Linked DNA regions of Caenorhabditis elegans. The protein of the gene in region 1 interacts with the protein of each later gene in a pairwise test. Each region holds a gene or a part of one and is shown in the gene's direction. Other genes may lie near its edges.

Evidence for each region. Proteins that work in one complex are often made in the same cells at the same time.
Region 2: the proteins of ess-2 (region 1) and col-140 interact in a two-hybrid assay, tested with the Caenorhabditis elegans proteins (one large-scale study listed by BioGRID).

What each region holds. Positions count from the first base shown.
Region 1 is NC_003281.10:8,487,226-8,492,534, reverse strand, and holds ess-2 (Splicing factor ESS-2), read left to right. Parts: upstream 1-2,182; 5' UTR 2,183-2,197; coding exon 2,198-2,398; intron 2,399-2,452; coding exon 2,453-2,713; intron 2,714-2,761; coding exon 2,762-2,935; intron 2,936-2,998; coding exon 2,999-3,594; intron 3,595-3,715; coding exon 3,716-4,079; 3' UTR 4,080-4,196; downstream 4,197-5,309. Other genes in the region: F42H10.2 (coiled-coil-helix-coiled-coil-helix domain-containing protein), read right to left, coding at 1,487-1,573, 1,630-1,890; LIM and SH3 domain protein F42H10.3, read right to left, coding at 4,413-4,568, 4,642-4,835, 5,015-5,128. UniProt on the Caenorhabditis elegans protein: Regulates pre-mRNA splicing.
Region 2 is NC_003283.11:5,834,711-5,838,660, reverse strand, and holds col-140 (Nematode cuticle collagen N-terminal domain-containing protein), read left to right. Parts: upstream 1-1,826; 5' UTR 1,827-1,849; coding exon 1,850-1,984; intron 1,985-2,032; coding exon 2,033-2,767; 3' UTR 2,768-2,806; downstream 2,807-3,950. Other genes in the region: F26F12.2 (uncharacterized protein), read left to right, coding at 74-121, 169-308, 354-638, 689-895, 952-1,024; srh-76 (Serpentine Receptor, class H), read right to left, coding at 3,524-3,696, 3,742-3,950.

The sequences.
Region 1 (5,309 bases):
AACGACCTGGGTATAGTGAGGGAAATAGGCGGGTGCGCATATCTCGAGGGGGTTAGGAGAGGTAGTTAAATTATCACTGTTGACAGGTCTCGCTACAAAAACCAGATAAAGTACTTTAACTGATCAGTGTATAGAGGAGCATGTAAGAGAGCTTGACTAAAAATCTTATCTTTGAAAAATTTCAGAATTCTCTCAATGCGCTCATGAATTTTGTTCTTGTAGGGTGATAGGAAATTTATAAAAAACTAATAAACACATTTAAACATGAAATTGCAGTTTCAAGGTGCGAAAAACCTATTCTATTTAGCATCAAACAAAAAAAGAAGAAAAAATCGATATTGCCTCAAAACCGTACCCGAAGTTTAAAGGAACATTCTACTTTACTTATTTCGCGGCGAGACCCATGAAGGAAAATCGTGTCATGTCTCTTTAACCGGTGAGTACGATTTGAGGCAAAATATATTTTTTAAACATCGTAATATGCTGTTTGGACTTGTACCTGCCGAAAAAACACTGGAAAACACAGAAATCACTCATAATTCACAGAGAAACTACTACTTTCATATCAAGTGGTGTTCTGGGAGTATATTTAGCTGATATCTCCCCAGTTTTGCTTCTCTTGACTCGATCTTTTCCTTTCTCAACACGAGACATTTTCAAGTAGCTTCTCGGTTTTTCCCTTTTTCTACCGTCTCTAACTGCTTGCGAAGGGGGGCGCGCAAACACTAAGGGGAAAAGCCTACACTTCAACCGACACCCGTTTCTCTGAATCTCTTAAATTGTATAAAATCTCTCTATCCAGCCTGTCAACATGATATTTTTGTTTGATATATGGTATTAGAATATTTAGATTAGGATATGTTATCAAAAGGCGTCTATTGAGATCTTGAAAAAATATTTATAATACATTGAAAATCATTTGATCTGACCCAATCGGAGAATTTGAGTATCATTTTTTCTTACAATGCTCACTCAAAAATCACAAGAATTTAAATACAAATTGATAGATGAACTCGAAACGCTAAATTCTTTCATTGGCGCCCTACAAAAATAGCGTAAGTATGACAAGTGAAGCAATTTGTTAAAGCGAAGAAGAACTTTACCGTAAAACCGGGTCTATACTTTCTTCTCCTACAATATGCAAAATTCCCGCTTCCCGCCGATTAATGATCTGCAACGTTTTTACCATATTTAAGCCTGACAACTGATGGCCGAATCGAATCTTCCACAGCAACTAAAACTTCAAGTGGAAAAGGAGAATAGATATGAAAAGTACTTCAAGCCGGCCAAAGGAACATCCGAACAGCGAAAAGAAAACCAAAAAATGAAGGAGTGTTCGAAGATATACAGATGAAAAGAAAAGAGAGCAAATAAACGTTTCGCAATACTCTTTGTAATGCACAAAATACAGTATAATTATTACAAAACAGTATTTAAACAATAATTATTTATAAATTAACAAAATGAACAAATTATAATTGAATCATCACTTTTTATCATTGTCACCGGTACCGAAACACTGTGTTCGTGTGACACACTCCATGAACGACATCAACTCCTTACCGCAAGCTCCCTACAATACATATTATTTATTTATTTTCGAGAACTCTAGAGCTAAATAATTGTTACCTGCTCTATTTCACCATCACTATTGGTCTTTTGGCACGTAATCGCTTCCCGAAACTCGAATCCACAAGGGCTTCCAACAAGATGACCGACACAGTGACATTCAAAATTGATTTGGCCATCAGCAGTTGTTGGTCCGGGGTTATTGCTTGGATAGACTTCATTAGGGTCCGTGTTAGCTAGTTGTATAAGATAATCGTCTTTAATATCTTCCCAGTACTCATCGACGCTCATTCTCACAACTTCATCTTTTGTTGAAGCCATTTCGAGATTATCACCTTTTCTGAAAGCAATTAATGTTTTTGAAGATAAATTAACCAGAAATCAAATATATTAATTTACGGACAAGAAGTGTTATGTATTTAATCAAATAATCTTTGAAAGAAAACAAATTCTAACAGTAAGTTTATTGTCCACGAGGACTACGTACGAGAGCGCTAAACAACTTGCACTACGAAACTCCGATTTTTTATAAAATTTCGCAATTTCTTTTATTTTTCTAATTTTCGTGGTTTTTTCTTTTTAAAATAGTGCTTTTAATTTTATTTTGTAAATTTTCAGAACTCGAAAAATGTCGTCGTTCGACAAAAATGACGAGCGAGCTCAGCTGATGGTGCCAAAATCAATAAACGAGGGAAAAGTAGTGAAATTGTCACAGAAAACCCTAGTTACTAAGAAAATTGAGCGCCAAGTTGTTCCCGAGGAGAAGTACATTGCTGGACTTGATAAAATTATAGAAAAAGATTATTTTCCACATCTCAAGAAAATGCAGGTAAAATAATCATTATTTATAAATATTTACTGTTTTAATGAGTTCTATTTTCAGGCACAGAAAGAGTATTTGGAGGCTGTTGCAAATAAGGACATTAATAAAATAAAAGAACTTCAAATGAAGTTCTGCAGTACTGGAAGTGTGCGGACCGATAGAAGCTTCAGAACCCCAATAACAACTCGTTCGACAACTGAGGCTCCTGATGTTTCATCTTTCGATGCAGATACACCGGGCCCTTCATCTGCTTCAACTTCGAGTGCACATGATTGGATGCAATCTCCAATGCCTTTTGCTAATGAGGAAGGAGATAATGAGGTTAGATTTATGATTTTCAATCCATTACTATCTTTCGCAGAGTTTCAGGCGTTAAATCGGAAACGAAAAAAGAAGAAAGAAGAGACTTTAACGTCATATCTCAACAAATACACATCAGAAGACAATGCTTCCTTCGAGGAATTGGCGAAAGTTATGAGGGAACGAGAAGATGCACGTCGTCCTTGGGTTTATAAAGCCGAGGAAGAGCATAACAAAAACCTTGTAAGATATTCTTTCACGAATAAAATCTGATATCGTCGAATTCGTAACTTAATCTAATTTCAGGTGACTCGACAAGCAATTGCTGCTGAAGCTGACGTGCAGTTGGCTTTAAAACATGCTGTAGATGCTGATGACAATAGACCTCTGAATGTAGACAATTGGGCATACAAAGCATGGAACACTGTACTCTTCAATCCGGATGGGGCAGCTCTGACACCTGCAGAGATTGCAGATGCAGCTAGAAAACAGCAAACTGAAATAAATAAACGTGGCACTAGGTTTCCAGACTCCGGAAAATTGAAGCCTAGCGACGAAGCTATGACTCGAGCAGCAGTGAGCCATGCTCTCGCGAATGCCGGAAAAGTTGATTTTTTGGGAAATGAAGTAACTCCAGCCAACTCATTCAAATTACTCGAAACACCGAATCCAAATCCTGACGACATGGATTCTCCTCTTATGACTTGGGGAGAAATTGATGGAACACCATTCCGACTTGATGCGCCTGACGTTACAGAGCATTCGTTGCCTGGTGCGGCGCCTGTATTCAAGATACCAGAGGTTCCGTATCGGGAGAAAATTGCACAATCTATGAATGATTCAATCGCGGCCAAATATAGAGACAAGAGAAAAGTTGCGATGAGAGCAGCTGAAGGAGCTCAGTGAGTTTTCATTTTTCAATTAAAAATTGTTTATTTTTTCAAGTTATAAAATATATTTCTCTATGGTATTAAAATCTATAACGAGATAATAGTACTTCAAATAATTTTCAACTTGGTAAAGTTTCAGCCGAACACCTGGATTTGGATCCAAGCGAGTCTCAGACAAGCTTGCACAATTATCTCCTGCTGCTCAAAAGTTGGCAACCAAGAAGCTTGGATTAAAAATGTTACCTGCTCACAAATCTCCTTTCGCCTCGCCGAAAATCATGTCGAATTGGTCAAGACCGTCAAGTTCAAAGCGATCCACAACTCCTGGTTCTGCATGGAGTCGTGGTTCTACTACACCTGGATCATCTTGGAGCCAAGGAGCACAAACTCCTGGCACACCTGGGATTGAATCTATGATCCGAAGAAAAGGGGATAACGTCGGACCTTCAACATCAGCCGGAGCTGCAGATAGAGCAAATGCTGGAGACTTTTTCTAATATTATAAGATTAGTATAATTTAGATCTGTATATTTTGTTCTCATGTGCCTTATAGACACGGTTTATTATTTATGACAATGGCCTAATAATTGATAGTAAATTCATTTATTATAATTTTTAATTTTTAAATTTCAGCACCATATAACATTTTAGAAGATTGAAAAACAAATGGAGAAAAGGCATTCAGAAGGTGAACAGAACCCGTTTGTGGGATTTTCAGAAAGTTGAAAAAATAACTGCAGAAGCCTGAAGCATAATTGAAGCATTTAGGGGAAATGTGTGAGCAAGAGCAGGTCATGGAGAGATAGAAAATGTGCGTGGGTTTGGAAATATTAAGAAAGTCGGTGCAATCCGGTAGGAAGTTTATGTGGTTGAACATAATTTGCAGGTAGCATTCCCCATTGAAGAGTTCGTTGAACTGTTCCTGTCATCCATCCATCATCAATTTTCTCGCAGTTCACGATGATATCACCTTCGAGGAATGAAATCTGGAATCAAATATTTTAGATGGTTGAATAAATTTTCATCGTGAAACTGGTTGAAAACCTAATTTAAATTTACCTCGTCTTTATCAGCAGCAGCGTAATCATAAATTGCCTTAACTGCAAATCCAGCTTTTCCAGTCGGTGAAATTGTGCTTTGTGGAGAAGAAAGTGTTGAATGTGGAGATGTTGAAGATATACTATTTGATGATGGAGGTGGAGCTCCTGCAAAATCCGCACAAAATCTTGCCGGACCTTTATCCACTTGAGCCTCTGCAACAAGCGGTTAGTTTCAATTAATGACAGATCAAAATTATTCAAAATGAGCTTTTTAAAAGATTATTTCTTCCACAAAACGAATTAATAAGTACCAAAACGTGCAAAAAATTTGTGTGGATTACAAATGAGCAAATCATTCAAACAAAAGCCAAAAAAAAAAACAAAATCCTTACTCAAATATCCAAGTTTCTCGGAATTTCTCGGTTGAGCAGCAGCTGTACCCCATTGTCCGTTCATTGGATCATAGTCAGCAATACTTCCGATTGATTTTTGTGGTGTTGGAGATACTGAAAGCGAAGAAAAATAACAATGCACAACACAAAAGCTTTTAGAAAATTACACATGAAGCACAACGAAAAATTTGGACTTTATATAACTAGATACCATAAATTAGACAAGGCTTAGGCTTGGCGTCAGTGGGGGAGCGTTAGCTCCCCCACTGACGCGCGATAAAAGTGGCTATTTAGG
Region 2 (3,950 bases), on another chromosome or scaffold:
CGTGTAAATTGTTATTCTCAAGATTAGCCACGTCGTTGTTTTAAATTATTTCTTAACTTTTTAAACAATAAAAATGACAGAATTTGTATGCGGTAATGATGAGCAGTCTGCTGAACAAAAAGTATGTGATTTTCAATTTTAATATTCAAATAATACCAATTTTTGCAGAATCCCAATCAAGAAAATCCTTTTTTCAAAGTTGCCCCGAATAAAAAATTTCAAGCTTTGATTCCATTGCTTCTACAGGATTATTGCATTAATCCAATTAGTTCTGAATTGCGAGTCTGTTACGATGCACCTACCAATCAGTTAGTTTTCCATTTTTATTTCTTTTAAACTATAAGAATTTTCAGATCGTCACTTACTTACACCTTGACTTGGGATAAGAATATTTCGGAAGAATATGAATTTGAAAAGGCTTTGTTGGAGGAGAAGCTCATTCAAAATTATAATAATCTCGCACGCCCGAAACTCAATAATCTGGATGCTCCAAAAAACGAGCCCAAATCTCCCATTCAATCTTTGAACTACGCAGTACCAACGAAGAATGCTCTCGAGATGAACTACCCAGCGAAAGACGAAAAGATCACAGTTAAAATGGTTATTCTCACAGCTGCTAAGGATTATGGGGTTTTCTAGTGAGTTTACAATGTTCTATGGAAATATGTAGTAACATAGTTTGTTTCAGTGATCACTGCAAAGTTCAATCGAAGTTTTCTAAAAGTATTATTAATCCAATTTCCAAAATGTTGTTCAACAATGGAAAAGATGAGGCTGACTATTTGAAAACTGGAGAACTCTACTACGCGGAGCTACATCCTGATTTTGAACGAAAGATGTATAAAATCGAGAAACCTGAATACAAGAAATTGAAGTTGAACAATATACCGAAAATGTTCGTTTTCAAAAAATTATTCTGATGTTGTTTTTTTTCAATTTTTAATTTTTCAGATACAATGATATTGCTCTCGTATTGGATTTAGGAGGATATGTGAAGAGTGGACGCACTGTGTATTTCGAGTAGTAACATTTTTGTATCGTAGAAGCTTAACTGTTTAATTATCGATTTAATAAACTTGATTTTTCTGTTTGTTTATTTTTAGTTTTAAGTTGGTTTTTTTCCGGTTTACAAATAGCTTTTGCTTCGTTTGCTAGTCGTCCATACTCGGCAAATTACACCAGCTTCTTCCAGTGCTATGTTTGAATTCTGCCGTAAATTACGCATGTTTGACACACCGTTTTCCTACTTCACTGGCAAAACGTCACAACTTTATAGTGCACTTCTGCAACTTTAAAAATAACACTTATTCAACTTTGCAGCAGCTGTTATGAAGTTACAGAACCCAGGCTGTACTTTAAGCTACACAATCATTGGTGAATCTCCGGTGTATGTGTGCAGGCTGATAAAGAACATGGTGCATCGAGCAAAGATTCAATACTTGTTTTTTGAAGTGGCACAACTGAATAGTTTAACTCTTTACAATAAGAATTTAAAATTTCGTCTGTATTTTTGAGTTGTTTGGTTGCTATGTGAACGGTTACTTCCTATTTTTTTTTCTTAATTAGTTCCTTCTCTCCGTTCTTATCATCAAAATTTTTCTGCCACGAAACTGGTTTTGCCGTACACTTACGCGAAAGTGAAGCAGTAAGAATCGAAAATGAAGAAAATGAAAATGACCTTGCTTTTCCGGAGACTTAGAGAATTAGCAATTTCCAGAAAAAAACGTAGAAAAAGGTTTGATGGATAGATAGGTAACCATTGGAGATAGATGGAAAGTTACACCCAATGAAACAGTATAAATAGCAATAGCGACAACGGAGAAATCACTCTTGTCTTCAATAGTCTATCATGGGCAAGCTTATCCTGGTAGGATCTTCGATCGCACTCACCTGTTGCTTGGTGACCGTCTTCACGATGGGATCTCTCCTTCAGGAGATCTCTGACATGAAGATGGAAGTAGAGGATGGTATGATGGAGTTCAGAGTAAGCTTACTTTAAAGTTTTGAATGTTTCACCAATCATACCTTTCAGGAGATTCATCAAGATACCTGGAACCGTGTTGTTCGCAAGCACATCAACCCAACTGGAGAGACCGATGCCCCACCAAACTTCCAAACTCTTTTCGGTATTCGTAGATCTCGCCAATCCGGATTCCCAGAACAATGTAACTGCGGACCACGCTCCGAAGGATGCCCACCAGGACCACCAGGAACTCCAGGAGAGCAAGGACCACAGGGAGAGTCTGGACCTGACGGAGACGATGGAAAGCCAGGACTTGCCGGAGAAGTCGTCGCTATCGTTCACGATCTTCCAGGAGGATGCATTCAATGCCCACCAGGACGTCCAGGACCACGTGGACCACCAGGAGAGGTCGGACCAGCTGGACCATCCGGAGACAACGGACGCAAGGGACCACCAGGACCACCAGGAGGACCAGGAGGACCAGGAGAGGGAGGAGATGGAGGTCGCCCAGGAAACCCAGGACGCCCAGGACCAGCTGGGCCACGCGGAGAGCCAGGAACCGAGTACAAGCCAGGACAACCAGGACGTCCAGGACCACCAGGACCACGTGGAGAGGCCGGACCAGCCGGACAACCAGGATCCCCAGGAAACGATGGAGAGTCTGGAAAGCCAGGAAACGCTGGACGCCCAGGACCACCAGGAGCCCCAGGAAAGAACGGAACTCCAGGAGTTCGTGGAGAAGATGCCGCCCCAGGACCAGATGCTGGATACTGTCCATGCCCAGCTCGTGCCTACAAGGCTTAAGCGTTCTGTTTCTTTCGAAAATAAATTTTCATTTTCATCAATACATACATACACCAAAAACAATATACACAAAAACGTTATTTATCAGGAAAACTGGAAAATACTATCAAAAAATATTTTCAACCAAAGTTTTTTTTTGAAAATTTAATGCTTAAAAAAGTGAATTCGGAATTTAGTTCCGCTTTTTAAGTTTTGTTGAGATGTAGTCTAGACGTATTCTTTTGGATACGTCTAGCTGTGAACTCTAGTAATATTTTCACATCACTTTCTTATTAGACAGAAATTCATTATGAAAACTCTCTGAACGCTATGCTATATGTATAGTTTGACATCTAACTTCTAACTACTTTTTCCCAACTACCTAACACAAATCATAGAAATCACTACTCAACGCCTGGTCTGTGGTGTAGGTCACAATGATATACAAATTCCAAATATTCTTGAAATTATTCAAGCGAAATTAGAACGCACAATTTTGTTGAAAGTTGAGTAGTGGCGCAAAGAAAAGTTTTTGGAAGCCTCAAAATAATCTGACAAACACTGGATAAATTGTATTTAAAATTAGGAAATTTTTCCAAAAAGTTTAGACTATCAGAAATCTTTTTTCTTCTTTTTAAAATAATTTTTTAAATACACATATTGTCATACGTTACATGTTACATGGGCAAAAGTTTGAAAACGCAGAAGCGCACATTGGCTTTTCAAAAAAATGACATTGCAAATTTTCATTGGTGATTAAAGGTAATTTTTTTACTCCTATTGTATTTGATTGTTTCTTGACACCGAAATATTACTCGCCAAATCTGTTCTCGACTTAAACATTATCAATTTTCTCGCAAACTTCCAATACGCTGTATGACAAGATATAAGTCCTATTGTTGATACCGTTCCATAGAAGTTGAAAACCAAAACGAAAAAGTTGTTGAGCACTGAAACTTTGAACAATTTTGAAATTTTGAACAACTTTAAACAACTTTGATTATAATAATTCGAATAAACCGAATAGCAGCAATATGACACTGAAGGCACTATGAATGCATATGGAACAAGAACTTGAATGAGAATTCCAATAAAAAACTTTTTCTGCAGTTCGATTGTTCTTTTTGAAAAGCTACTTGATTTTGAAAAGACAAGATATCGTAAGCAAGTGAATGCATAAAATAAAAGTTGAACGAATGTAGAA